Tamandua tetradactyla: one gene and its partners. The main gene of each other region encodes a partner of the protein of the gene in region 4 in a complex. Links are inferred from orthologs where the notes say so. Each region holds a gene or a part of one and is shown on either strand. Other genes may lie near its edges.

Region 1 (7,824 bases), on a different chromosome or scaffold from region 4:
GTCTAGAAAGAATTTTATCTTGTTGACGCATGAGCTGTTTAAAAATTATTCTATTAAATGTTGGTTAATAGTTGTGCAGTTTTTCTTTTCAGAATAAAAGGCAATCCATATGTTGCCTTTGTTTTCTGTCACTTTCCAACCCCTAAGCACTTCTAGTCAGATACAGATTCATCAGTGTATGCAACATCCTTTGTAATTTAAAATAAAAAAAGACAAAAAGAAAAGGTTTTGAATTGTTTGCCTCATGTTTTCCCCTGTCCTTTCTCTCTTGCTTTTCTGTTTCTTACCAAGGTAAGCATCACTGCTCTTCAAGATAACTCATTGCAAAGAAATACAAAAATAAAGAGAGCAACGCACTGTTGATCCTGCTGCCCCTTTCCTGGTAGGGTCCAAAGAGCTAACAATTTTTTGCCACCCCGGGCTGATTTTTAAATACTTTAGAGAAATTTAGCTATTATGTAAAATCATTTGTTGACATCAAACATTTGCATTCTTTATAGTTTAAAGCATGAGTTTATAGTTTATACTTATTTCTCTTTGAGGGTTTGGGCAAGTGATTTCTCTTGGAGGAAAATAAAATATTTTGGGTCTCCTGATTTAAACTTTTGTATGTGTTTGTTTAATAATTCAAAATAAGGCCCCGAGCTAGGCCAGGCATATGTATAAAGTCTTCCAGCAGGGAACCTGAGTGAATACCACTGTAGCAGTATGTAATCCTTCAGCTAACATTTGTTTAGCACTTACTGTGCCAGGATTTGTGCTGGGTACCTGAATACAGAGTTTATAGCGCCCTCCAGGAACTCTTTCTGCTGAAGGAGATGGCATGTGAACAGGACTGCAGAACAATACAAGAGCTGCCACACATATGCCAAGGGCTGTAGAATTACTGTAGCGGAGGTGTTTTCAAAGATACAGGTACTATATCCAGTTGCCAATCTTGTGTTCTTGATGTTCCTGGATCCCTGTAGAAGCCCTTTTGGCTTCATGTGCATGGGGGTCATCAGGAAGCAAAGTGGACGTGGCCTCCCATGGTCTGGTTCTACTTCAGGCCTCTCAGGGCCACTCACAGGATCCTCTGCTGTGGTCCTGGGAACTTTAAGGTTAGTATAGTGCCTAGAAATGGCACTTCAACGTGTACTGCCTTCCTAGATGGGTCATTCAGTTGTTTCTTTTCACTGCTAGTGATCTCAGAGCCATATGAACTCTTTAGTCTCAGCCCAGTTAAAAGGTTCCGAATAAGGGTGGTGCAGCGGTGGCTCAGTGGCAGAATTCTTGCCTGCCATGCTGGAGACCTGGTTTCAATTCCTGGTGCCTGCCTGTACAAAAGAAAAAAAAAGGTTCAGAATAGGAAGATGTTAGAAAACTCTGGGCTCTAGGGGTGACATTCTTTAAGACCCCCATAGCTGCTTGCCCATCAGAAGCCTCAGCTGCTACTGTCAACAGCCCAGTGAGGCAGGTAGTCACATCCATTTTAACCACAGGAATCAGATTAGACTTGGAGGAGGTCACTTGCCCCAGACCCAGCTAATATGATATAGAGCCCCAACTCAAACTCCAGTCTGAAATAACTCGTATCTAAAGCACTAGACTAAGTCACAGACGATATTTTAAAGTTAGGAGGATGAATCTGAAAACCAGAAGGAACTAAAGCCAAAGCCTAGCAAAAGTTTTAACTAAAGTCTCAGGAATGAGTGGATAAAGATGACAGTGGGGCAGGTGGGGGACGGGTGGGGGGGGAGAAAACATTGGGAGTAGTCAGTGATTGAGGGTGTTGGTCACAAGATGGCACACCTCTTCTGCAAAGATGGCCTTGAGAAGGAGGACTTAAAATTGAGTCTCTTTGTTAGGTGGGAGCTGTTTTCTTAATCTTTAGTTGCTGCCTAGAGATGCAATTTGGGAACTATTGCTGGCATTAGGAGTTTAGAGCAAAAAATATGATGTGAAAGGGGTCCAAGGTCATGTGGGGAGATCCTCACCTTGCAGGCTTTCAGGCTTCTCTGCTGTTTTAATAGGGAGCTTCCATTTGGGATCCAAAATATTGAAGTGGCCTGAAGAATGTTAACCTCAGTTTCCTCAAAAGGTTTGAATCTTAACATCACCAGGAATAAAGTTAGCAGAAAATGTACAAGGTCTCGATAAAGAAATATTTAAGATACTATAAAGGACTCAGAAGGAGACTTGAATAAATGGGACGATATGCCAAGTTCTTCAGCAGAAGCAGTCAGCATCATAAAGCTGTCAGTCCTCCTAAGTGAGATAAAAAATGTAGTGTCACCCCAATGACACATTCTAGTAGGGTCTGAAAAGCAAAACTAAAGTTCCTGTGGGGTGGGGAGAGGGGAGTAGCTGGAAGTTGCTGGGACAAAAAAAAAGTGAGGGGGATGTTTAGTCCTACCAGATATTTAAACATAAAAGTATAATTAAAACAGTGTAATGTTGGTGCATGAGAGAATAGATAGGAGAATAAAACAGAATGGAAAATTTAGAAATAGGCTCAAATATATATGAAAATTTAGTATAGTAAACGTGGCATTCAGAACCAGTGAGAAAAAGATGGATTCTTCAGTAAATAGTATGGGTCACATTTTCACATCTTTTTTTAAGCTCATAATTATGAAAGAAATATGTATATGGAGCTTGGGGAAATAAAAATAGACTTTTATTAGTATTGGTAATAAACCTTCATTATAAAAAAAATAGTATGGGAATAACTCGATAACATCAAGGAAAAGTAAAATTGGATCTGTATACTTCACAAAACAAGCCAATATATATTTCAAAATGGATTAAAAGCTAAATGTTAAAAGGAAAAAACGAAACCATAAAAACATTACAAAGAAATGTGGGAGGATTCCTTTAAACCTCCAGGGTTAGGGAAGGCCTTTCTAACTTGGACCCCAAATCCAGAAGCCATAAATGTAGATAAGTAAATTCCACTACGTAAAACAAAAACACTTTTTTACTTTTTTGTTTTAAAACCAGTTTATGGTTTTAAACCAGTTTATGGTCAAAGTAAAACCAGTTTATGGTCAAAAGCACTGTCAACCAAGTCAATATTCTGTAGACTAAGAAAAAAGCTTCGCAACATCTCTAAAGGATAGCCTCCTAATACATGAAGAGTTCCTGGAAATTAATATGAAAAAGGCCAAAAACCCAATAGAAAAGCAGACAAAAGATAAATAATAGCTTTTAAACATAGGGAAAAGGCCTCAACCTCAATCATTATAGGAGAAATGCAAATCAAAAGATGCATTTTTCACTTAATTCACATGTTGGTTAACACACCATGTGGGAAAACAGGCATTTCTACTAGCACTTCACTGGTAGGAGTGTAAATTGATACTACCCTGATGCAGAACAATTTGGTAGCATGTATCGGATTTTTAAAATGCATATGTTCTTTGACCTGGCAAGTTTTATTTGCTCTGTGGCTTTGGGCAACTTATTATGCATTTTTGTCCTTTACCTTATCTGTAAAATGTGTAAAGTCTATAAAAGCTCTACCTCATGGAGTTACAGTGAGGGTTACCAGGAGATGATACACATAAAGTACTTAGTACTCAGAGCCTGGCTGAGTAGAAAGTACTAGAAAAAAAAAGTCATCTAGTAATATAATAATAGGAGCTAACATGCTTGCATCTCTTATACCAGGCAAATGCAGTGGTGCTTTTTTTCATGTTATCTCAATCATCAAACCTACCCTGTGAAGTAATTGCTAGGGTTATCACCACTGAGGAAACTGAGGCACAGAGGAATGTGAGTGGGCAATGCCCAGGCCTACTTTACACTGCTTCCTTTAGGTGCAGTGAGGTGATGAAGGGCTCCCCTTAAGGGAGGGCTGTGCCCAGAGCTGAAGGAGCACGGTGGACCAGCACGAAGCCTGGTTTGCACAGCCCTACCCAAGCAGCCATATGTGATTTTGAGCAAAGCTGTGGCTTTTGGTGAAGACCCTGCCACTTTCAATTCGGGTAACCTTGCAGCAGGTTTCTAATCTACTCTTAGCCAATTCTAGGCATTCTAGGAAGAGGATACCATGTTCCAAGGCTTCAGGTCCAAAAAGAGCTTGAGGAATCCAGGAATGGGGGATAGGGTGATGGCCGTCAGCCTTGAGGGCTCGCTAAGAAACCTGGACTATTTAGTAATAATAAAAATAAAATGTGAGTGCCACTATTTGTTGAGGGCCTGCTCTTACAATATTTTGCTAAATCCATCAAAACTACTCCAGTGAGGTCGATTTAATAAATCCAATCGTACGCAAAAGGGAACGTCAGGAACCACAGAAGGGAAGTGCCTCGATCAGTTCTGCGTTTTAGAAAGACCCCTCGAGCTGTGGGTTGGAAAAACAAGAGGTACACGAATGAAGTGCCTTGAATTCCACACATTAATAAAAGAATAACGTTTATCATTTTCTTTTACGTACTCTACAATTTATACTCACTGTAGAACGTGTGAAAAGTACAAAAAAATTTTAAGAAATATAAGCAATTATTCGTTCCCCCCCCAGGCCATCCTAATTGATATTTTTCTTTCAGTTTTTTAGTTTTCCTAAGCCAGCAGTATGTAGTCCCTCTTCCCTTCCTCTCTATCTTATTTTGGTCATTGCAAGAGATGAGGCTGGTTTTCCCCAGATGTCGGGCGACGTCTTAGTTCCTGGGCGAACCGCTCAGGATTCTGCGCTGGACGTTCCCGCGCCCACCTCGGTTTCTCACCCCGCCCTTACCGTTCCGCGCGGAGTCCCCGGCTCGGCTCAAGCCGCTCTCTAGGGGGCGCTGCCGCAAGGGGAGGGAGAGAAGGCGGTGCCAAACGCGTTTATATTTGGCCACTATCAACGCCCGTAGCCCGCGTCCCGAACATGGCGGCTCCTCAAGATGTCCACGTCCGGATCTGTAATCAAGAGATTGTCAAATACGACCTGGAGGTGAAGGCGCTTATCCAGGTACTAATTCCCGGGAACCCTGCTGGGCTCCAGCCACCCAAGCTCCGCGGGCCTCCTGGGGGTTTGGCGGTCTCAGCCCTGAACTGTTAACACTTGGTCTAATCTCCGAGGCCTTTGGCCCCGCCCCGTGGTCGTCTACCCTCTTGTGGTCCAGTCCCCGTGACAGTTGGCCTTAATCTTGCATCCGGGTACCGCTGATTCGCCCTCTTTCCTGCCACCCCTAAGACTCCTTCTTCTGACGCAGTCACTTCTGTGTACCCTGCCTCAACATCCCTTTTGAAACCCCCGTTTGGTCCCTTCCACGTCTTCCCTGATAGTTGCCCCGCCCCTGAACACCTCACAACACACCTGTCACTCTGTTATTCCCTCTAGCTGCTAGGCCCCGCCTCCCGGTGCCCGCCTCCATCCTCCACTTCTTAGGGTCCGGGAGGCTATTAGCGCCGCCCCCTGCCGGCCTGCCTTGCTGGGTCTGGTGCCCCGTGATCCCGAAGCGCACTTGACAAGGGACATGCCGGATGAAATGAGTGTAGCCTGGACCCAAGATGTGATTTTTTTAAAGGAGGAAATTGAGTAAAGCGCTAAGGCCTGAATCAGAAGGCAGATAGTGTCAAAACTGGGATCCGGACAGGGAAAATCATCCTATGGAAGGATCTTGAGAGTCTCCTCCCCTCTATTTAGTAAATGGGGAAATTGAGGGATTTTGCCTTAAGCCAGAATCAGGGTTCTTTTTTTTAAATTTTTTAAAAACTTTTTTATTGTGTAATATAACATATATACAAAACAAAGAAAGAAAAAAGCAGTCGTTTTCAAAGCACTCTTCAACAAGTAGTTACAGGACAGATTCCAGAGTTTTTCATGAGCTACCATACGATCCTCTCATATTTTTCCTTCTAGCTGCTCCAGAATATAGGAGGCTACAGGGCTTAAGTTTTTTTAATCATCACAATTGACTTTTTTTCCCTCTGTTTTTTTTTGGTGAAAAATAATGTATGTAAAAAAAGCTATAGATTTCAAAGCACAGCTCCACAATTAGTTGTAGAACATATTTCAGAGTTTGACATGGGTTGCAATTCCACAATTTTAGGTTTTTACTTATAGCTAGCTGCTCTAAAATACTGGAGACTAAAAGAGACATCAATTTAATGATTCAGCATTCATATTCATTTGTTAAATCCTATTGTCTCTGTAAAACTCCACCATCACCATTGATCTTTCCATCCCTTTCTTTAGGGGTGGGTAGGACATGACAATTCTAAATTTTTCATATTGGAAGAGTCTGTCACTAATATGGGGTAGGGAGATGGAACTATCTGATGTTCTGGAGAGGCTGGGCTAGGTTTCAGTACTTATCTGGACCCATCTGGAGGCTGTAGGTTTCTGGAAAGTTACCCTAGTGCATGGAACCTTTGTAGAATTTTATATATTGCCCTAGGTGTTCTTTAGGATTGGTTGAAATGGTTTTGGTTAGGGTATGGCAAGTTATGATAGGTAGCAATGTCTAACTGAAGCTTGCGTAAGAGTGACCTTCAGAGTAGCCTCTTGACTCTATTTAAACTCTCCCAGCCACTGATAATTTATTAATTGCACTTCTTTTCCCCCTTTTGGTCAGGATGGAATTGTTGATCTCATGGTGCCAGGGCTGGACTCATCCCTGGAAGTCATCTCCCATGTCACCAGGGAGACTTTCATCCCTGAATGCCATGTCCCACGTAGGGGGAGGGCAATGATTTCACTTGCAGAGTTGGGCTTAGAGAGAGTGAGGCCACATCTAAGCAACAAAAGAGGTCCTCCAGAAGTACCTCTTAGCCATGCCTATAAGTAGTTGAAGCTTTTCTTCTACCTACATAAGCTTCACAAGAGTAAGCCTCAGGATCAAGGGCATGACCTATTGATTTGGGTGTCCCTAAAGTTTGACACAGTATCAGGGGATTCCATGATGGTAATGTTTAATAGTTCTATAGAATCAGGGCTCTTAAACTCCCATTTAAAAAGGCAGTGGTGCAATAAATCAGTCAACATAGGCAAGAGTTGGGAATGTGGGAATGGTTCCATAAGTTTAGCAAAAAAACCAAGGGTTTTTTTGTTTTTGTTTGTTTATTTGTTTGTTTGCATGGGCAGTCACCAGGAACCAAAACCAAGGGTTTTAAGCCTTAATTTTAAGCAAACCATTTTCCTTTGCAACAAATGTCATCGAATATTAGATGTAAGCTCTGAATTTGCAACGAGCTGTGACAAAAGTAATGGAAAATAGAGCTTCCCCAGTAGACCAGATACAGAATAAACCAAATTAGTGGTTTAACACGCGGTGCAAGGAAATGTGGTTTAATGACTAAACTAAGGAAAAAAGTGAGGAAACCATGCAGACGCTTGAACTTCGTAAATGTTACTTCTCCCATGTGTAAACTGCAAACTTCTGAGCAATCTTAGAAAAATAAATTTAGGGTTCATACAAATGAAATTACCTTTTGACATCATTCAATTGCTCTGTTTTATACTCTCTTAACATTTGGGTTCCTGTGGTAGCTAATGAGAAAGATTGATTATAGTTAGATGTATTACACTATTACAGTGTTCCTGTCACTCTACTAACTGCTTCACATATGTACATAATCTCTGAGGTCCTTAATGTAATGAGGAAGCTGACAAGTTCAACTCCTGGACCATGCATCCAAAAAAAAAGGGAAGATATCTGTAAATACTTTGATTCCTCATAGATAGTTTATAAAATCAAACTGAAGGAAGTTAATCTTTTCATGTGATGCCAGAAATTTGAGCATCATGGTTTTCAAGTTGGAAAAGTCTAAAATTGTTTTTTTTTTATTGACAAGTCTTCACACACATACAGTCCATACATGGTATACAATCAGTGGCTCACAATATCATCACGT
Region 2 (6,941 bases), on a different chromosome or scaffold from region 4:
AACTTTCCCTTTTCAATCTATACCTCTGCACATGCTGCTTCCTCTGACTGGATTGTCCTTCCATTTTTCTTACAAGACTTGAAAACTACTCACATTTCATTTCCTTTCTGAAATCTTTCCCAGCTGTAGTATTCAACTTTTCGTAAGATCTTTTCTGTACCACTTGCCTCCTACTCATAAATATACTCATAGTATATTTACGGGGCTGGTAACTTCTTCGAGACAATAAGCCCTTGACAGCAGGAGTCCTGCCTCATGTTGTGTCAACAGTCCCGCACAGTGCTTCATACATAACAGGTAATCAATAAGTGTCTACAGTGTCAGTAGACGCGTGGAGGTAGCTCTAGAAATGTACTCTGAGCTTCTATGCAATGGATAATGATGAAAGTGGTTTAACTGGATTGCTGGGCTCTCCTGATGGATAGAAGTTCACCTGTTTGATGATATATGTTAGCTCCTCGATTTCCACTGCTTTATCATCAAAGAGAGACTTGCGCTTTGCCACTGCAGAGACAATGAGAAGGAACAACAGGTCAAAGACAGGGCTCAGGGAGTAAAGTTCCTGAGCCCTCTTTGGTTCACTGCCCCACCTTGGAAAGACCCCAAGAAAAACACTCACAGATTGTCAGCTTCTCCAGCTTGGCAAATGTGTTGCTGAGATCTTTCCCAATGCGCCTACAAACAAGCATTAGTGAAAACACTGCGGAAATGGGTAGGAGAGGGCCTAACTCCATATTAGCTCCAGCGCAACTAACCCCAACCCTCACAGACAAGGCCACCAAAGACAAACCCACTTTTCCTCAGACACATCACCCCAGCAGATGGTTTCTCAACTCACTTGGCCATGAGTGTGAATTCACTTCGCTGCCGGACAGCACGCAGAGCCGGTTTATTTGTCTGGATTCCATTCTGAAAAGCAATGTCAGGAGGTGACAACCTTAGCTCCCCTTCCCCCACTTCCAGCTTTCAGTGTTCCTCAGGTTGTCCACTAAACTCTCTTAGTAGAGCTCAGGTCCCCGGCTGGCCAATCCAGATTTATCAGCAGTAGTACAGAACCCCGATTTGAAGACACATAGACTGGGGTTCTAGTACTTACTAGATGAAGGACTTTGGTCATGTTACTTTAACATTCTGAGTTTCTACTTTCTCTTTTATGTAGCGAAGACAATCCTTCTACCTTCTTTTGCTGCTACAGAAAGTGCTGTAAAGCTCTTAAGTCAAATATGTAACTCACTCACTGTAAGGTACTAAGTAAATGGTAGCAAGTATTGCCATTCTATTCCTCAAATCAGGGACTCAAAGAGTATCACAACTAGAAAGCCCCTGGAAATCACATAGGAGAGCAGTTGTTAGCCAGAGCTGGACACAGAAAATATTTAAAAATGGTCACCCAAGTCCCACCGAGATTCAGAGCCGGACTGAGACAATGTTTTTTCAAGCACTCTAAAGTGATTAAGAAAGCTTCCCTCATTTTAGACACTCAATTTTAGACACTCAATTTTAGAAAAATTGAGGCCCAACTAGATTAATTAACTTTCCCATAGTCACAAAGGAAAACTGTGGCAGAACTAGGCCAGAACTTGAGTTCAAGGTATATGACTGCTAGCTAAAAGTTCCGTCTAGAATCTGTTCTTTGGCCAAACCAAGTATATTGCAGGCACCTCTGGCCCTGAGGTATTCCCCCCATAATAGCAACCCTATCATCAGGGAGGTTCTTCTCAAAAAAGTCTAAGCCCCCGCCTGCTAACCTCTGTTTCTTAGCAGACCCTACTGTTCCATCCAAGCCTTATTAGGAGCTGTCCATCAGCTTCCCACAAGAATGACTTTAGTTAATAGTGTTGGAGCACAGCCCCATTCAGAAATAAGGCTTACCCCTGATCTTTTCCACTCCAGGTTCTTACCTGATGGCTTTGAAGGGACTTGCAGGCAGACAAGAACTCCTGGGTCCGGTCCCGGCAGGACATGGTGTCAGAAAGGGGAGGGATCAGGGCCACTGGGGGGGGCAGAGGGGTGATGTCGCTGCTGCTACTTCCAGCAGTTGCAGGAGACAAGATCTGTGTCTTTGAGAGACCCAGGTAGACACCCTGATCCGTGTTCTTAGACCCGTAGCGTTTCCGGGGGATCATTGAGACGCATAACCTCGGACTGCTGTGGAGGGAAAGGAGTCATTCTCCAGGGAGCCACCTCTTCCATAAATGACCCCCACCCCCCACCCCCAACCAACAAATCCTCCGGCTCCTTCTGAACCTGGCAAGCATTTTAAACCACAAGGCCACTCGTAGATCCTGGGGCCGGCTCGCAGAGGCAAGGGCCCCACTTCCCACCCGGCCCAAGCTGTCCCCTCCTCAGACTCTTTCAACTCGACTCTGGCGACCAGAGCGTGGGGCTGGGGGCCCTGAAGCAGAGACAGAGACAGGGCCAAGAGGCAGGTCCCCAGGCTCTGAGGCTCCAGCCCAGCCCGCAGAGGTGTGCCAGGCCCTAACCGGGACCTCTCCTGTCCTAGGCTCCTTGACTCCTCACAGAAAAACGGCGACCAGCCCTCAGAAGGGGACACACTTCGGTGGACGAAGGGGGAAAACCTCTAGGTGTTTATTTGAAACAGGAAGTCCCACCCACCCCTCGCTGGGTTCCGCCTTCTGGAAGGCTGCAACCACTGATTTGCTAATGCCGACGTCTGTCTCGATAGGTGCTTTTCTGATTGGACCACCAGGTATTCGCTCAGCCCCAGCCGGGTCGGCAGGACCTAGCCGCTGGCCCCCGGGTTCTCGGCCCCCGGGTTCCCCTCCCCCCGCCCCCGCCCGTCGCCGCCCTCGGACCCGGAGCTGCCCCGGCAGCCAGATCCTCTCTTAGAGAGAAATCCTACCTCCTTTCTGCCGCCTGCCGCCGCCGCCACTGCCACAATCTCCCAGGCCGTCACCGCCACCTCCGTGGGGGCCGAAGCCGCCGAAACCCGACCGGAGCTAGAAGCCGCCACGTCACCCGCGCGTAACCCCGCCCCCGGTGACGAGAACGCGGCGCCACGCCTTTTGGGGGCTGGGCGACCTGGGAGGCACGCCCCCCAACCAAGCGCCCGTGCGCCGTCGCCTTCCGATTGGCCAGGCCGACACCGTGACCCCGCCCCTGAGGCGCGGGTGCCGGAGCCCCCGGGGGGGGGGGGGGCTGGGCTAGCCTCCGGGGAAGAGCCTTAAAGAACCCGCAGCCCGGCTGGTGCCCGCGCGGTGTTCCCAGAGCCCGCAGCAGAGGCACAAACGCTCGCGAAGGTCCACGTTCGAAATTTTATTCTCTGGAGGATGGGACGGATTGAGAGTAGGAATGGGGTTACCCCTTCTCCGGCTCCTCCTGGATCACCTCCTGGTTGATCCCCAGGTTCGGAATCTCGTGCCTTTGACTGAGGACTGACTGCCTCTTATTCGACCGTGCCGAGCCCCGACGGCTGAACAGGGACAGCCGCCGCCACAGCACGGTGATCAGAAGGCTTTCGTTCGACTTGCGCTTCCGGTGGCGCGGGGAGTCCGTATCGCTCCCTTCGAAGCCTGTGGAGACGACGATGCCTCTGAGCTGCGCTCTGCCCTCACCGGTCCCACTCCCTTAGTGATCCCAAGGCGGCTGCCCCCTGCCCCGCTCCCCGGGCTCCCTTCCTGCGTCTCCGGGCCCACCTGTCCCGCCTTCCATGGAGTCGCCGTTCCTGGCCTGATCACTGGAAGTCTGAAAGTCCTTGTCTTGGCAGCAGCCCATGGCCCCGCGTGGCCGGCACTCCGTACCACCCCCCCAACCCGCCCACCCGCAGGTCTTTGGCCCTTGCCCGGCTTTTGTGACGTCAGCGGTCCTGCCGCCCCGGCTCCAGGAGTCCCCAGCCCAAGCCATTCATCCCCTCATTTCCCCCATCACAAAAGGCTCCAGGTCATGGTGGGGATTGAGGTGTTTATTTACAAAATGGGTACCCCATCTTCAGGGGCTGGTAGACCCAGGCCGCTTCTTCTTTCTCCGTCTGGTTTGGGGGGCCCCTTGGCTCTGCCCCACATCCGGGAGCTTCCGCTTAGCAGCGGCTTCCAAGGAAGCCCAAAGTTCATCTGTCTCTAGGTCTTCTGGGGCCACCTTGTTGGACTCTTGAGGCTCTTGGGGCTCATCCTGGTGAATGGGGGGAAAGCTTACAGAGACCCACAAGGAGGTCCTAGCTGGGAAATAATCCCAGCTTTCTTTCCTGCTCTAGGATGTCATTCCCATCCCTGCTCTTAGGAATGGCACCTTTAGTAATAACCGTGTCAGGACTATCTAACTTTTAACTTGGCGGTCTGCAATCCAGCTGCCACCTTTATCTCTCCATGGAGAAAACCTCACATCGAAGCCCTTGAATCCCACATTCCCTGACCCAGCTGCTCACCTCCCAGTTGTCCCTGCCTGAAAGGAGGAGGCAGTTCAGCCGAGACTTGAGATAAACCTGCAAAAGATGAGAGACCTTAAAGAACCTAACATGCTGAAGTGCTGGACACAGGAATGGAAAGCATAGGAAGTTGGGGGCTCCAGGGTCAGGCAGGGTGGGTATGTGTGTAGGGGATGAGGTCCAGTGGGATGGCTCTCACCTTATGTTCTAGGCCCCGTGGGTTCTGGATTCTGTGTACCCTCAAGACTCGGTCCAGGCTACAGGAGGCTAGGAGGGGCTTTGAAGGGTGGCACTGCAAGCCTCGGACACTGCCTGCCAGTCCTTTCAGACAGCCCAGCAGGCGCCCTGGAAGAGGGGAAGCATCAGTGCTTGCTGGCGGGTCAACACCACTTGGTGGGTGTTGAATGCTCTCGTCACTTTACATGTCAACATTACATCCTCAACATAATGCTGAGATGAGAGTTACCATTCATGTCTCCATGGGCAGGAAACAAAGGTGCAGCACTGAAACATTCTGCTTGGGGTCTTTCAGCTTTTGGTGAAACCAGGGTTTGAACCCAGGCAATCTGGCACCTGAACGAGGGCTCACAACTACTCCACTTCACTGCTTCAGCGGGAATCGTGCCCTTCTTCCCCATGCTAACCCCCTTTCCCAAGGACCCCCTGGTTGACTCACCTTGCCGAAGGTCAATTTCCGCCAGCTGCCCATGAGTATTTCCCACAATCACTGAGCTGAGGAGACCAGAGACAGGTGGTGTCAGCAGGAACTGCCTGCAGTCCTTCCTGAGCCACCCATCTCTTCTCTCACACTCACTCACTTGTTCCCAGGAGTAAGGGTCATCGCTGTCAGCGGATATTCTCCATAGGTGGCCTCCAGGACTGGCCGCCGCTGAGGGCAGGCTGGATCATAGACACGGATCTGGAGGAAGACTGCAGCATCACTCATGAAACCTTCACCCTGCACAACCATCAGCCCTCTCCACATCCTCACCCCAGCCCCCCTTTAAGCACTGCCTTCATGTTTATGACACACTCTCAGAACAACTTCCCCATGTGATGGCCAGACAAACCTGTGAAGATGAGACTGAGCAAACTGAGGCTCTCAAAGGTACACATATGTTCCTAACCTGTTCTCAGACCAGCACTCTGCTAGGCAGTGCTGGAAACATGGTGATGCAGTCTCTGCCCTCCCATATTCCAGAAAGGACCTAGGCTCTTCTAGTTCGAGCTCCTCACAGACAGGGCGGTGACTTGTCCAAAGTCACCAGGTATCCTGGCCTCATGCTCTCAGAACATCTACAGGGAGGGCAGAACTAGATGTGATCAGAGCAGCCAGAAGGGTAATGGGGGAGGGGTACAAGAACACAGAAGATAGGACTAAGTCCAGAAACTCCCCAGTGGATGGGCAGGGGGCATCCTGGGAACATTCTCACAGTCTGTATTCCCTTAGTCTGCCCATCAAACAGGAAATCCGAGTGTAGGAGGAGCGGGGGTGGGTTTGCTTAGGAATGTGCATGGACAAGGTTGAGGGGACAGGTCTCCCAGGTTGTGGTGGGTGTGTGTGTGTATAGCAGCATTCCAATGGTCTGCAAGTGTGAGTATTCTGCCACGCATCCCCTAATTGAGAGAGTGTGTATGTATGTGGGGGGGTGGGGGTGGATCAGATGGTTCAATTGTCACAAGTCTTGAATTTCAGGCAGAGAAGTTTAGCTTGAGTAAGGAAAGAGAGATGAAAGCTTCGTGTGTGTTTTTGTTGTTTTGTTCTTGGGTGCATGGGCCGGGAATCGAACCCAGGTCTCCCACATGGCAGGCAAGCATTGTACCACTCAACCACCTGTGCATCCTTCATACGTGTTTTGAGCAGAGCATATCACCGCAAAGATCTGACTTCAATGTGTGGGAATGAAGGAGACAAGGCAAAAAAGCAGGACTTCAAATGAGACGAGTCATAAAGTTTCCTAGTACAGCCCTTTCTGTACAAGTGGGGACCTAGGGCTAGAGGCAAGGGTCAGGCTTGACTCCCAAAGCAAATCAGAGGCAGCATCAGGACTGAAACTCAGTTCCATTGGCACCCAGCCCAAGATCCTCTCATGACACCTGCACCCTGCGGATCCAAGTATGAAGGGAACATTCCTTTCAGCTCTCCACTCTTCCAAGCAGGAGGGAAGGAAGAGCCCTAGTTCAGAAAATTCCACATCAGAATGCAATAAGGGAAGGTCACTTGTTCAGTAGTAGGGCTGGAAAGTTTAAGGGAGATGCTCCCGTGCCAAACCGGGGGGACTGAGCCTGTATAGCTAAGCCATTTCTCCAGGAAGCTACTTAGGCCCAGGAGAATGGGTGGGGTGGTGCCTCACCTGGTGGTACCCTGTACAGGTGGCAAGCTTCTGCGACCCAGGAAGGAACAGTATGTCCTGGTCCCAGATGGGAACACGAAGATCAAGCCAATCGTTTCGCACCTGGTAGGAGGAGTTTATGGGGGGTGGGGCTGTGAGGGCCAAGTGTGGCCCCCACATTCAGCCCTCCTTCATTACCCCTAAAGCCCATCTGATCTCTCACTCAA
Region 3 (7,094 bases), on a different chromosome or scaffold from region 4:
GGTTTCTGTCATTTCTGCCTTCTCTGACTCTCTCCAAAATGTTTCCTCTTTTAAAGGATTCCAGTAAACTAATCAAGACCCACCTGGAATGGATGGAGTCATATATCTATCTAATCAAATGTCACCCCCACAACTGGGCGAGTCACAGCTCCATGGAGATAATCTAATCAAAAGCTTCTACACACAATATTGAATCAGGATTAAAAGAAATTTCTCTGGCAAGATTGGCTTTTCTACGGTACATAATAATTTCAAACCGGCACACAGCCCTTTAGAAAAACAACTGTGTGCAGCCTATAATGCCTTACTGCAAGTAGAAGGACTAACTCAGAAATACTCTGTGAAATTAAGAACAGCCATCCCCCATACAGGGGTGGATTCGGGACATTGCCTCTAAGCCTTACTCTGGCAGTACACAGTTAATCACATTGACAAAGGGGAAAGCTTCTCTGCAGCAGCACAGCATTTCAACAACAGCTTCACAAGTGTAAAATGCATGATATCCTGAGATCAGTTTCCTATGTGGAAGAACAACACTTACCCCTCCCTGCTGATCCTCCCGAGGTGGCTGTCTCTGTGCCCACTGTTGATGGATGTGGCAGTATACCTGAGTCTGCCTGGTATACGGACGGAGGAGCACACGTGCAGCCTGCCACCTGGATAGCAGTAGGCATGTGCTTTGGTTTGCTGAAGCTGCCAGAATGCAATCTACCAGAAATGGACTGGCTTCTACAAAAGAAATTTATCAGGTTATAAATTTACAGTTCTAAAGCTGTGAAAATGCCCCAATGGATTTATCAACAAAAGGATAACTTCACTCAAGAAAGGTTTTCAGCAACTGATACACCTCTGTCAGCTGCAAAGACACCTGACTGGTGTCTGCTAGTCCTTGCTCCCAGTTCATTGCTTTCTCTTTCTAAGCATCTGTGGGCCCTCTCTTAGCTTCTCTGGGGCAAACTCTGCATTTCACCCCTTAGCTTCAGTTGGCTCTCTCCAGGTTCTGGGTCCTCCAGGTTCTGTGGGACCTTGCATAGCATCTCCGGGGCAATTCTGTCACCAAGCATCTGCCATTTCTCTGCTCTCTGTATCAGTTCTGAGCTCTCTCTATGCTTTCTGCCTTTTATTCTCTTCATCGAAGACGCTAGTAAAAGGATTAAGACCCACCTTGAATTGGGTGGGTTATACCTCCATGGAAACAAGTCAATCAAAAGATCCTACCCCCAAGAGGTCAGCATGCCCAAGACTGGATTAGAAGAACATGGCTTTTCTGGGGCACATAACAGTTTCAAGCAAGCACACTGTGTAACCTAGTACAAACACACTATGGGGTGGGAAACTGGGACTATCATGCGCTGAATTAAGGGATGTATGGATGGTCATTTTCACGAACTTGGAGATGGGATAACTATTTGTGCTGACAATTGGGCCATGTACCGAGGTCTGACAATGTGGATGGCCATGTAGAAGCAAGAGAAATGGACTGTTGTTGGCCATCCCTTTGGGGAAAAGAAATGTGGCCAGATATCTGGACTATCACAAGTGAAAGGTAACTGTGTTTCATATCTTTGCCCATAACACTAATTCTTTACCTGGCAATATTGAATTAGGAAAAATTCATAGCCGAAGGCCAACACTGCATGAGGCTGCTGAATGGTTTCATAAAAAATAGAACACCCAGGGTACCAGACCCTGTGAAGCCTGGTACAGCAATTCCAGCTGCCCATCACCAGGCAACTGAAAGAAGTTGTGAACATCTGCTCCTCCTGTTTGCTGCGATGCTCAAGGATGCTTCCTCATCAACTCAGTCACACTGGCTGTGAGCAGATTCTGCTCACCGGGTGGCAGGTAGGTTATACTGGGCCCCTTCCCTTATCTGGATATATAAAATAAGCTTTTACAGCTGTAGATAACGCCACTGGACTGCTGCTGGCTTTTCCAGTAGATAAAGCTAAGCAAAGAGATACAATACATAGCTTAGAAAAGCCAAGTGCATTCTTTGGGGTCTCCACACATGTCGACACTGATGGAGGGACCCCCTTAACTGGACAACTAACCCAAAACTTGGCTACTTAACGTGACATCTTATGAATATTTCATTTGACTTACAATCCCACAGCAGTGGGATTGATTGAAAGAATGAATGGGATTTTTAAATATATATATTTATTGTATTCACTTGCATTCACTTAAGATAAAAATCCAAAGTTTCTGGCTTCTTTAGGCTATTGTAAATAATGTAGCTGTAAACATTGGTGTACAAGTACCTGTTCAAGTCTCTGCTTTCAATTCTTTGGGGGACTATTCCCAGAAAAGGGATTGCCAAGTCACATGGTAATGATGGGCTTTTAAAAGAGTGATTAAACGATAACAAACAATCTCTGCAACACTGGGCGTGTCAGTTGTATCCAGTCCTCCTCAGCCTTGATTCAGGACCCAGAGCAGCTGCCCTCGCCCCTGCTGAACTGGTAATGGTAGGGCCCGTGCAGATACTGCAAATTCAGGTACAAAAAAGACCAGCAACACTACAGATATAACAAGGTAATGAAAATAACTTGCTTTTGCTGCACTACAAGCATTAGAAACTGGGGAAAATAAGGTCAATTGGCCATGGTCCTGGATGATGTAGTCGCACTGGTTGGGAATCCTAAGCCCATGGGGTATTGGGGTCACCCAAAATTAATGAGTTAGGCCATAGTTTATACACAAAAGGCCAAAGCTGTATATGTAACCAACCCGAGACCCTTCATATCCCAAGGCACAGTATGTAGGACTCTGTTATCACGTAGTATGTTCAGGCTAATTGTGAATCTGACCACAGAAAGCTCCTGCAATCGCAAGGGGAAAAGATGTAGTATTTGTCTGCTAGTGGAAAGTTGGCTTATGTTCTTTTTGCCCTTAGCATCGCAGCAAATACCTTTCTGCAACAGGCTTCTGTGGTAACCTACATGCACGATAAATCTCAATGCTGAGTGTGTGCTGAACTGCCACTGCTGGGTGTTACCAGCTTGCCTTGGACTGTGACCCCTGGGAATGAACTGCATGGAATACCCTGCTGGCCTGACAGAATTCAGAACATTGGAAAATCTAGAAAAGAATCTTCTCACGAACGAATGAAATCACAGGTTTTTATCAGTTATTAGTAGAATAATGTAACTCCCTTTCTTGGCCTGACAGCATCAGTTTGTGGACCTCCTAATGTTCTGTAGCCTCTTACACTGTTTTTGTGGAATATGGATGCATACTACTTCAGGGGCAGTGGATTGTGGCAACCCAGGGGTCGGGACCTCCCCCTCCACTACGGAAACATGTAGCAGCCTGGGTGACATTTATTAAAACTCCCCTCCCTTAATCACTAGTGGTAATCAACCCTCCCAGGACTCTGCTGAAACTACTTGTAACGACTTCTCGCAAGAGTCTGCTGAACCTTAGAAGCCATCCTCTTGGCACTCCTCTTCCCTTTGCACAAAATGCTGACTTCCATTTCCCAACCATTGGGAGAAATTTTTCTCCTTTAAAACGCATAAATAATTTTCTGCCTGGCGTGGTCTTTGGTCTCGGGGTTGTGCTGGGCGAGGGCAAGCTGCAAGTAATATTTATTGGCCATTATAAGGGGCCAAGTAGCCCTACACAGTACACTATATCATTTAATTTTCACAATAATACTGAAGTTGGGGGCTGGCTTCATCTCACAGCTACGATAATGAAGGCTGGAGAAAAACGGCCTCTGGCCTCTATGTCCGAGCCTCAGCCACCAATCTGCCCTCCATGCTTCCAGAGGGTCAAAATCCACGTGCATTCCCGCATATTCCTCGAGGTCAAATGTCAAGGCCAGCTCCCCTTATGGTCCCTCCAGCGAGGCCCACATGGCCCGGCTCGCTCAATGCGGAAGCCACGAGAAGGGAGCAAGCCTTCCTGCTTCCTGGGGTACAGGGGACTCGGGGTCCCCGGCCCCCCTGGCGTTGCCAAGGCGGCCAGGGTTTGCCGGGAGGAGAAAGGGGCGTTTTCCAGCGCGCAGCCCGAGCCCGGAACCTTTCTCCCCGCGCCGCGGTTGCCGGGCGGAAGTGTGCGGGCCGGGAACTGCCCTCCGGCTGCCAGGCTCGCGTCGCGGTCGCCGGCTGCTGACGTGAGCGGGTCGGGTGGCGGCCACGGTTGTGGGTCGCCATGGCGGTGGACATCACGCTGCTGTTTCGGGCCAGCGTCAAGACCGTGAAGACGCGGAACAAGGCGCTGGGAGTGGCAGTGGGCGGCGGGGCTGATGGCAGCCGCGACGAGCTGTTCCGCCGGAGCTCCCGGGCCAAGGGCGACTTTGCCAGTCGGGCCCGCGAAGTGGTGAGCTGGTTGCTATGGAGACGGCGGGCGGACGAGGGAGGCGGACCCGCGACTTAGCGGTGAGACCCTGTCGGGTTAGCATTGTGCGGAGGAAACGCCTGAAAGATGTGGTCTCACCGCGGGGTGGGGGTGGGGGTGGGGGTGTCTCAACCGGAGAGTTGGGTATGAGTGCGGACAGCTGCCTTCAGAAAGGAGCAGCCTTATATGGGGGACTGGATGTAAGTATTGGGGAAGTCTAGGAAGCAGATTTCTCTTTGGAAGAAGAAGGCACTCGGCAACCTCTAAGTGCAATGTTTGCTTTGTGAAAAAATGAGTTCGCGGGCACGGCGGACAGTCCTTTGCTTCCCCGACGCAGCCCTGACTACACTGTATTTGCCTCTTTTTGCTTGTCTGGTTCCGCCTCCCTCGCATTGAGATCAAAGACCACGTTTCTTTCAGCTGAGTCCTCCCCTCCCCTTGCCTTCCCCAGTATTTCAGGAGCGTGGTAAAGCTAAGCACATCTCGAAACTGGTTTTGGATAATCTTTCACAAATATTCCATGTTCTAGTCGTCTAAACTACTTACTGTTACCTGAACACAGCAGCCTTTCGTTCATAAGAGCAGGGGCTTTCTCCTTTAGGGCAGAAACTGTTGGCTTCATCTCGGAATGGCCCATAGCATTGCTTACTAAATGTTGAATGAATGAATGAATGAATGAACAAATGGCTGCCTGTCTTTCTAACTAAACAGGAAACACCATAAGGAGAGAGAAAATCTTTGTTCACTTTTGTATCCTTGGCACCAAGGTTGGATCTAGTTTTTATTTATACAATTTTATCTGCCCTTTTTCAGAAATACAAATAAGAAATTACCAAAAAAAAAAAAAAAAAAGAAGAAGGAAAAAGTAGCCTAAGGGCTTTGGAAAGTGCATGTGGGAGTCCCTGAAACCTCAGGTTCATTAGCTTCCTGATAAGTCCACCTCTGCTTAGCACACAGTCCAATACTTAGCATTTTGTGAACACTTGATGTTTTTGAATGAATATATGTATTCATGAATTAAGACTGGCAGTTGCAGAGGACAGTTAGGCATCAGAAGAGAAAGTGGACCAGATGAGTACATCCAGACCAAAGCACTGGTTTGAGTGGCATGATGTAAAAGGAGTAGTAGAGGAGATAGGCATATAAACAAAAATAAGTGCCATAAAGCTTAGTAGATGTTGTGACAGAAGGCTAAGACACAAAGGAAGGTGGTCAGTTCTGCCTGAGGGCTGGGAAAGGCTTAAAAGAGGTGATGATGTCTGAAATCAATCTCGAAAGAGTAGTTGGCTGGTTCCAGGACAGACAGAGTAGGGAAAGGCCTCTCAGGTTGAGAGAACAGTATGCACAAAGTCACTGAGGTAGGTGCCAAACTAACATCAGCTGGTTTGATAAGCATTTGAGTGTGGCTGGAATGTGGGACCCCCAGGAAATTTGGCCTGGAATGACAGGTAGGGGCAGTTCTTGAAGGACCTTGTATATGACTGCTGAACTTGAACTTTACACGTAGGCAATCTGATCTTAGTGGAGAAGGAGCACTAGAGAAGGAGCCAAGGGACTTGGTTGTCCTCTTAACCCTGCAACTATTAGCCACTTAAGGCTTATTCAGCAACTATCACCACAATTTCTTTACCTGTAGGTCCCCTTCTTTTTTTTTTTTTCCCCTTAAACAGCAAGAGACTGAAAACCGCATTACCCTCTAGGTCTGACAGATCAAATGGGAGCTTCTCAGGTTGAGGTGAAAGGAAGGGAAACCAGGCTATTCTCCCTCTCCCTCCCCCGCAATCTTGCCCAGACACTTCCTGAGCTACCACTTGTGGAGCTGTGGTTTGAAGACCGCAGTTTTGGTTTTTGGAGGGCCCCTCTACCTCTGCAATCACCAGTGTATTAACATCATGCTGATCTGAGTTGAGTTGCTGCTCTTGTAGGGACAAGAAGCACAGGAGGGTCTGTGAGCATGATGAAGAGCCCTGTGGTCACTGAGGCCCCCTCAGGCCTCTTCCTGAGTAGTGAGAACTAGAGTTCAGTCTTTGAATTCATGGGCATGGTTAAGTAGTGACAGGTTTCTACTACTGGAGTTATTTAAACAGAGGGGTAGTTAGGGATGTTTGAGAAGAACTTTGCTTGTCAGAGAGACTACATTCCATTGATGTTTAATGATGAGGGTAGGTGTAAAGTTGTGGAGTTTCTGTCAAGTAGGGACATGAGCTGCGCTGTTCAGGGCCACTGCCTCTTCTGATATTGGGAAAACATGCATTCTTTGGAAGAATTTTTTTTTCTCATATTGCAGTTGTAAGAAACTGTTCTTGCGACTATTTCTTTCTCTTTCACTCTTCCTCCTTGCGGAAGAGTTCAGCTAGTATAGAGCTAGTGGGGGGATGATCAGGTGTGTCAGATGTTTGGTCGTTAATATTGTTTTGGATAGATTTCCTTTTACATGAAAGTCTGGTTAGTACTAGGAGTACAGGTTTAGAACTGGTTATCAGACCAGAGGAAATGTAGCAAATTATAGAAATGACTTTGGTTAAATGCCTTCTTTGAAGCATTTGCTATCATTTTTGTTTTGTTTTTGTTTCTTTTGTTGAAGCATTTCCTATCATTTTAAAGATACATTTTGCCTACTTTAATTCCAGGCCTTCTGTTCCTTGTTTTGAACAAAATGTATGCCTGATGTCATATTTCCATCTCACTGCATTGATGTAGAGGTTGTATTAAGCTTAATAAAATTTTGTTGAAACTAGTTTTTCTAT
Region 4 (7,807 bases):
CTTCTCTCCAGGCCTCTGGGTTCCAACAACTTTTCTGGGGTGATTCTTTTCTGCATCTCCAAAGGCGTGGGCTGAGCTACGAGTGCTGAGATGAGGTATGCCGAGCTGCTTGGGCTGTGCTACGTTGAGTTCTCTCATTTAAGCACCAGCCAATTAAATCAAACATCATTCATTATAGCAGGCATGCCTCCTAGCCGACTGCAGATGTAATGAGCAACAGATGAGGTCCACGTACCATTGGCTCATGTTCACAGCAATAAAACTAGGCACGTTCACCTGGCCAAATTGACAACTGAATCTAACTACCACACCATCTCATAGAGTTGTCTTGGGGATGAACTGAATTAGCAGTTATAAAGCACTTATACTGGTGCCTGGAACACAGTAAGCACTATGTAAATATAAAATTAAAAGGATTAAAACTTAAGAAGAAATTTTTAATTAAAAAGAAATAAAAATAAAAAATAAGTAACTCCATTCATTCGTGGACATTTATTGTGCCAGGCACTATTGCAAGTCCTGGGGACACAGCAGTGAGTAAGGCAGGTGAAAATTTTACATTCTAGGCATTTTATTTGGGAGGCCAGTGAAGACAGACAATATACAAAATGAAAAACAAAATATATGACTAATAAAATACAAGTAGGGGGTGGGTCATGGTGGCTCAGCAGGCAGAGTTCTCACCTGCCATACTGGAGACCCGGGTTTGATTCCCGGAGCCTGCCCATGTCAAAAAATAATAATAATAATAAAAATAAAATAATAAATAATACAGTTAGTTCCAAACTGAGGAATGAGAGCTGTGCAGGAGCTGGTAAGGCTGTTCGCCTACGACCTGCTGCAGAGTAGGGCTCAGAAGATGGAAAAGGGAATGAAGACACTGGATAAGCAGCAGCGTAGAATCCCTGGTGGAGACACTGGAGCTGATAAAATGTTTGGAGTAATGATCATTTTCATCACCGTGACATAATAGCAGCAAACATTATACAGCACTCATTTTGTAGAAGGCACTGTTTTAACCACTTCATATATATGATCTCATTTAGCCCTTACAACAACCATATGATGCAAGTACTATTGCTATTTTCATTTTCTCAAACATTTTTTATTGTGAAATCTAACATACATTCAAAAAAGCAATAAATTCCAAAGTACGTTGTAACAAGTAGGTATAGAATAGATTTCAGAGTTTGGTACAGGTTACAGTTCCACAATTTCAGGTTTTTCCTTCTAACTATTCTAAGACACTGGAGATTAAAAGAATTATCAATATAATGATTCTACAGTCACACTCATTTGTTAAATCCTATCTTCTCTGTTACAACTCCTCCTTCTCCTTTGAACCTTCTCTCAATCTTTAGGGGTATTTGGGCTATGTCCATTCTAACTTTTTCATGTTGGGAAGGGGTGTCGACATTATGGGACAGGAGGATGAACTAGGTGATGTTCTTGGAGACGCCCTGGGTTTCAGGAGTTATCTGGCCTAGGAACCATCTGGAGGTTGTAGGTTTCTAGATAGTAATCTTAGTGCATGCAACTTTTGTATAATCTCAGATAGAGCCCTAGGTCTTCTTTAGGGTTAACAGGAATGGTTTTGGTTGGGGCTTGGAAAACTGTGGTAATTACCAATATCTAGCTGAAGCCTGCATACAGAATATACAGAACATACAGAATAGCCTCTCAACTCTATTGAACACTGTTAGGCACTGATACCTTATTTTGTTACATTTGTCTTCCCCCTTTTGGTCAGGAAGATGTTGAGTCTAAGGTGCAGGGCCAGTCTCATCCCTGGGAGTCATGTACCACGTTGACAGGGAGACTTTCACCCCTGAATGTCATGTCCCATGTAAGGGGAAACTAATGGTTTTCCTTGCAGAGTTGGGCTTAGAGAGAGGCCACATCTGAGCAACAAAAGAGGTTTTCTTTCCTGGAAGCAACTCTTAGGCATAACTATAGGTAGGTTTAGCTTCTCTGCTACAGAAATAAGCTTCATAAGAGCAAGCCTCAAGATCAAGGGCTTGGCCTATTGATTTGGGAGTCCCTAATGTTTGAGACGGTATCAGGGGTTTCCCTAGTGCTAAAGTTTAATAGTTCCATATCTTTTCTCCAGTCCCTCAAGGGACTTTGCAAATACTTTTTAATTATCTGCTCAGCATACTCTGGGATGAATCTGGGTATTACATTAAGCTATACACAATTACAAATCCTCATTCCCATTCTGGGCTCCATGTGTTTGGGTGTACTACACATAGAGAGGTTAAGTAATTTGCCTAGCAAGGTCACAGGGTTAGTAGGGATGGATCTGTGATTTGAACCCAGGTCATCTGGCTCCAGTGTCTGGAGGGCTGGACCTGTGAGTAGAGGGAACGGGACTGGCTACTCAGCCTCAGGACAAGGTAGGGCCAACTCCAACACCTACAGGCACCAAACCCAATATATTTAACACACACCCAGCTTTAAGGCTGCTCAGTGGGCCTGGAAGAGTGACAAAGAGGCATAAAATAAACATCAGTGTTCAGTTCTGGAGGGCCCAACCCCCAAAGCATTAGGGACATAAATGGCAGGCTCCCCACATGGCCTCTGCTCCCCTGCCCCCTCCACACATGAGCCCATGTGGCCTTAAGCCCAGCCTCCTGTGACCTTAGGTCACCATTTCACCCAGAGACCAAAGGAAATTATGAATCTCATAATCCTGAGAAGTTTAACAGAGGCACCAACAACTCCAGATTGCATTTGGAGACTGAGAAAGTCATCAAGAGACTGAGATACAGAGAGGTGGAAAATGGGACTGGTGGGACGGGAGAGAGCTGGAATCCACAGCAGTAGAAGCCCAGAGAGGAGGGCAGTCCTTCACAGTTCACAAGACCCTTTTTCATTCTTCCTAACCCCTCACTTGATATTTCCCAGTTCTTACCCTAGGCAAGGCAGAAATTAACAGACCAAATTGTCAAATGGGGAAACTGAGTCCCAGAGAGGAACAATGAATTCTTTAGGGTCACACACAGGATTAGAAGTCAGCTGCCCACAAGCCTTTCCATTGAACCACTCAGAGACAGAGTATGAGAGAGAGAAATAAAGAGACTGGAGTGGGGTATGTGGGGGTGTAGACAGGTACAGGGAGGCAAGAGGCAAGTGGCAGTTAACTGAAGCAGGAAATTACCTACAAGACCCAAGAGCAGAGAAATTCTCTGTGATCTCCAGGCCCTCCAATCCTCATTACCCCTGTGGATGGATGAGGACTATCATACTCACTCCCTCACTCCCAATCCCAGGCTGGGTTTTAGAGGTTAGAGAACGATCAAAGCCCTATACATAGAATCAGACAGCTTTCGAAGTTTCCAAGTTCATAATCAGCAAACTTTAGAGATATCCCCCTTTTGCTAACCCATTGAACAGATGGGAGATCAAGACCCAGAGATAAAAAGTGACTTGCCAGAAGCCGGAAGTCACTCAATGACAGAAATACAGGTCTCTTGACCAGAGCATAGAAGACAGAGGCCATCCCTTCCTTGCTTCAGGCTTCAAATAATAGTTCCCTGGGAAGAGCCCTGGGATCCAGGAGTCCTGAGATCTGCTCCTGGCCGTGCTGAAATTCACTGATTGGCTTTGGGCACTCCTCTCATAGAATATAAGCTCCTTGATTGCATGGATTTTTGTCTGCTACGTCCTTGATGTATTCCTAGAACAATGCCTGGCACATAGTATGTGCTCAATAAATATTTGTTGCACAAATCAATGTCTAGAGGTCCAGGGCCAGGGAAGTGCTACTGTGAGAGAGTCTGAAACCCAAAGGAAGAGACCAGGGAACCATAAGCTATATCATCTTCAGACATGTGAAAGGCTAAAATCCTATCAACAAATATTTACACAGGGTTCATTATGTGTGTAATTACTAAACTAGGCGCTGGGGATTCAGTTAAGAAAAGGCAGTCATACTTCAACCTAGAAAGTTCATAGCCTACAGTAAGGTCCGAAGCGGGCAGTTTTCGGTGATCCCAGGGGGTAGAACCAAGCATGAGGTGGGCATGGGGTGTAAGGGGCAGGGAAGTAGAGGGCTCAAGGTAACGCGATGCTTTTCTTAGCCTGAGCTGCCCCTAAATGGCCTCGCTGCTCAGAAGGTGGTGAGTGCAGTGGGACTGCGGTGTTCAAGCAGGGCGTCCGGCCACCCACCTGTCAGAGACTGTGCCAGGAGTCTGCGGAAGGAGAGAGTTCTGCCTTGGGTGAGGTCACTTCCCACCCCCAGTACCTCTGCCAAGAAAACCCTGCAATTCTCTGACGTTGAAAACTGGGAGTTTATTATTCTCTGATTTTCAAAGTCCCATGATGCTGACAGCCCCCAATTCGAAGTTGGCAGTCTCTGCCCAAACCGCTGGACCCCGCCCCCCCGAAAAACAAAAACGGACTGAACAAGAGTCCTACTACCCACTGCTTCCAAAGGGTTCTGGGGATAGTCAGCGCCTCTTCCCAATCGCACACGCAGCCTTAGCTTGTAGGGGCTGTGGGAGCGTAGTCCGGACGCTGGGGTCCCAGGGGCGTCGTGGGGTGAAGGGTGTCCCAGGGACCGCATTCAGAGAACCGGGACACGTGACACCTGGAGCATCACGTTCCGCGGTCCACGGTGCTGGGACCGGGCCGGTCACGTGACGAGGAGGGCACTATGGGGTGATGTGAGACACGGGACCGCTCAGATTACGTACAAATGACGCATTTCCACCCATTTTGGCAACTGAATTTCCAATGGAAGCTGGTTCGGGTAAAGGAGGCGGGCTCTCACCTAGCGCAGTTTCGCTTCCGTTCAGGGCACTACAGCTTCCGACCTCCGCCCTTTCCCTCCGGCGAGGAAGAGACGCATCCTCGTGCGCATGCTCCGAATCCTTGCTCAGGGGGTGGGGCCGAGGCTATGGGAGTGGAGGGGGCGGGGAAGAGGAGGGAATTCCAACCTGTGGAGTCTTCCAGGGGGTCCCCGCGGCCGGCTCCTTCCCATTGGCTGTGGACGTTGCAAGGGGTGGGGCCTCTGGCGGCTAGTGGGGCTTTTGGGGTCCTCTTAGTGAAACAGGGGAGTGTCAGGGTGCGAGAGGGACACGGGAGTTCCAGACTCAGAACTTGAGGCCCACGGGGCTCAAGCGCCGGGCAAAGGGAGCTCGGGCCGCCATGCGGGACAGGACCCACGAGCTCAGGCAGGTGAGGAGTCGGGGGAGCAGGCTTGGGGGCGGGAGGACGGGGTGGGATCTGGCCGGAACGCAGGACTTCTGGACCTCAGGACAGGAGGTGGGAAGGGGTTGGCTGATGGCCTGGCAGGAAACACCCGGAAGGCCGTGGGTCCCGCGGGGCAAAAGCGACAGAAAGGAAGTGGTGCTAATGACCCTGGCCCTGGCAGGGGGATGACAGCTCGGACGATGAGGACAAGTTGCGGATCGCGCTGGTGGTGCACCCGGGCACGGCCCGGCTGGGAAGTCCGGACGAAGAATTCTTCCAGAAGGTAAGCTGGGGCCTCGGCGTGTATTTCACGAGGGGGCAAGGCTGGGGTTGGGGCGGGGCTGACGAGCAGCGTGCAGTCTGGAGTACCCCATGTCTCCTTCAGCCCTCTCTGTCTCCCTCCTTAGGTCCGCACAATTCGGCAGACTATTGTCAAACTGGAGAACAAAGTGCGGGAGTTGGAGAAGCAGCAGGTCACCATCCTGGCCACGCCCCTTCCCGAAAAGAGTGAGTGACAACTCCAGTGCAGAGCGCTTGCTCAACTTGTGGGATTGTGGGGGTTGTAGTTCCACGCAGGTGGTGGCCAGAGTGGTTTGTTGTGGTATAGACTGCTGTTGGGGTTCATGGTCTTCTCTTTGTTCAGGTATGAAGCAGGACCTGCAGAACCTGCGGGATGAAATCAAAGAGCTGGGGAGGGACATCCAGATACAGCTGAAGGGTGAGCTTCTAGGACCTCAGATCCTTTTCTCTGGCCCTGTGGTGTACAGGAGAGTGATGGCCCAGAGCTGCTGGTGATATATTCACTTTATACACAGGCCTGAGTCTAGAAGTTCAGTTTACTGGCTTCAAGTCCCATGCGTTTTCCACAGCCCATGGCTGCCCTGGGATTTTCTTATTTGCAATGAAACTACTTACTCCTACAATTCTTTCTGTCCATTGTGCATTCTTTGAACAAGCAGGTAGGGGTTTTGTTAGGGGGGCCTCTGCATACCTGTGGGAATTCATGGATGCGTGGCAAAGAAAAATACACTTTCTCCTGTCAGAGGCCCAAAATTAGTCATTTTGTGCTAAATTATATTTCCCTAACAAAATCTATGTAGATCACTAATTTTGTAACTGGAATATGGCCCTGGCCTTGTGTTCTGGTCCCCAAACAATCTTCAGAAGTCACAAGTCAATCCCTCTTTCCCCCCATATTCCTGTGTCTTCCCACAGCCATAGAGCCCCAGGAGGAAGCTGATGACAACTATAACTCAGTCAACATGAGGATGAGAAAAACCCAGGTGGGTTTGTTGTTCCCAGAACCAGGCTATTTTACCAAGTGTTTCAATAGATTATTAGGTGGCAGAAGTGAGAAGGAAGGGCCATTAGAGATTGAATCCCATCTGATGATTTTTCTATTGGGGAAACTAAGGTTAAGAGAGAGAAAGGATTCACCCAAGGTTAAGAGCCCAGGACTCCTGATGCTTGAAATATTTTAACACCCTGTCTTCTTCTCCTCCATTCAGTGAGGCTCAGCTGTGGCAGATGTACTTTCCAGGAGCTCAGATGGGGAGTTAAGGGTTGAATAGGTAACAAAGATGTTACTGGGGTAGAACTTGGTGGCTAAAGACACTGCCCAAGGTAAAAGGTCATCTCTGGGAGGTTTCCAGTCCATGTGACAGGGAAAATCCATGGGCAAAATTCAGGAAGTCAGAAAGAGGAACTTTCATGCTGGGGAAGGTCACTGAATGTCTTAGTAAGGGGCTCTGAAGGGATCTGACCAGAGTCCCTTTGCAGTCCCAGCGAGGACTGCTTTGGGGTTGCTAGAAGTCAGGATTGAAGTAGGTGGGCCCAGAACTCAGCAAAAAGACCAAATTGAAGATGGACAAATTTGAGCATCTTGAAAGAGGGTGGCTAAATCCAAGAGAGTAGATGTGCCCCTGAGGAAGGAACTCACAATATGTAAGGATTCAGGGAAAGGGACAAGGCAGGGCAAAGCAGCCTTGCAGAAGCCCAGAGTGGGCTTTTTAGGAGGAGCAAAGACTCTTGGTCATTGTGTGAGATGACTAAGGTCCTAGGTGGGCCTGTTAAAATCTTGGCATCAGGCTTACTGACTGGCCTCTAAGCTGTCATGTTCAGCAGACATTCAACAAATACATTCGATTCTCATTATTTTTGGTACTTACGTTGTATAAAGTCTCAGTGTATACTGAAGTAGGGAATATTTAATTTAGTGAATACATTGCCCTGAGGGGAAATTTGGGATTAGGTTCCTGTGAGGCTTCAGTCACTCACTTTTCCTCAATCAATACATGACCTTGTTTTAGATGTGCTTCTTTTTTTCTTTTTAGCTTTTTTATTGTATAGTATAACATATATACAAAGCAATGAAATAAAAAAAGCAATAGTTTTCAAAGCACTCTTCAGCAGGTAGTTACAGGACAGATCCCAGAGTTTGTTATGGGCTACCATATGATCCTCTCAGATTTTTCCTTCTAGCTGCTCCAGGATATAGGCGGCTAGAAGGCTTAAATATTTTTTTTATCATCACAATCGACTTTTTCTCCTTTTTTTTTTTTGTGAAAAATAACATATATACAAAAAAGCAGTAAGTTTCAAAGCACAGCAC

What was found.
Region 1: STX4 (region 4) and BNIP1 share a complex: the UniProt entries of both Homo sapiens proteins name them as parts of the SNARE complex. The link is inferred for Tamandua tetradactyla from reciprocal best matches to the Homo sapiens genes STX4 and BNIP1.
Region 2: STX4 (region 4) and STX5 share a complex: the UniProt entries of both Homo sapiens proteins name them as parts of the SNARE complex. The link is inferred for Tamandua tetradactyla from reciprocal best matches to the Homo sapiens genes STX4 and STX5.
Region 3: STX4 (region 4) and STX18 share a complex: the UniProt entries of both Homo sapiens proteins name them as parts of the SNARE complex. The link is inferred for Tamandua tetradactyla from reciprocal best matches to the Homo sapiens genes STX4 and STX18.

Annotation. Positions count from the first base shown.
Region 1 is NC_135346.1:54,589,651-54,597,474, forward strand, and holds the start of BNIP1 (vesicle transport protein SEC20), read left to right. Parts: upstream 1-4,807; 5' UTR 4,808-4,852; coding exon 4,853-4,936; exon of another isoform or gene 4,937-5,278; intron 5,279-7,824. UniProt on the Homo sapiens protein: As part of a SNARE complex may be involved in endoplasmic reticulum membranes fusion and be required for the maintenance of endoplasmic reticulum organization. Also plays a role in apoptosis.
Region 2 is NC_135335.1:11,753,738-11,760,678, reverse strand, and holds the start of STX5 (syntaxin-5), read right to left. Parts: upstream 3,014-6,941; 5' UTR 2,864-3,013; intron 2,608-2,863; exon of another isoform or gene 2,484-2,607; intron 2,149-2,483; 5' UTR 2,127-2,148; coding exon 1,902-2,126; intron 910-1,901; coding exon 839-909; intron 676-838; coding exon 620-675; intron 505-619; coding exon 434-504; intron 1-433. Other genes in the region: TEX54 (testis-expressed protein 54), read right to left, coding at 3,319-3,533, 3,657-3,735; WDR74 (WD repeat-containing protein 74), read right to left, coding at 3,949-4,128, 4,382-4,438, 4,581-4,726, 5,058-5,113, 5,200-5,300, 6,736-6,837. UniProt on the Homo sapiens protein: Mediates endoplasmic reticulum to Golgi transport.
Region 3 is NC_135345.1:8,488,830-8,495,923, forward strand, and holds the start of STX18 (syntaxin-18), read left to right. Parts: upstream 1-4,076; 5' UTR 4,077-4,161; coding exon 4,162-4,329; intron 4,330-7,094. UniProt on the Homo sapiens protein: Syntaxin that may be involved in targeting and fusion of Golgi-derived retrograde transport vesicles with the ER.
Region 4 is NC_135349.1:23,489,946-23,497,752, reverse strand, and holds the start of STX4 (syntaxin-4), read left to right. Parts: upstream 1-4,787; 5' UTR 4,788-5,151; coding exon 5,152-5,181; intron 5,182-5,377; coding exon 5,378-5,479; intron 5,480-5,603; coding exon 5,604-5,703; intron 5,704-5,839; coding exon 5,840-5,914; intron 5,915-6,411; coding exon 6,412-6,479; intron 6,480-7,807. UniProt on the Homo sapiens protein: Plasma membrane t-SNARE that mediates docking of transport vesicles. Necessary for the translocation of SLC2A4 from intracellular vesicles to the plasma membrane.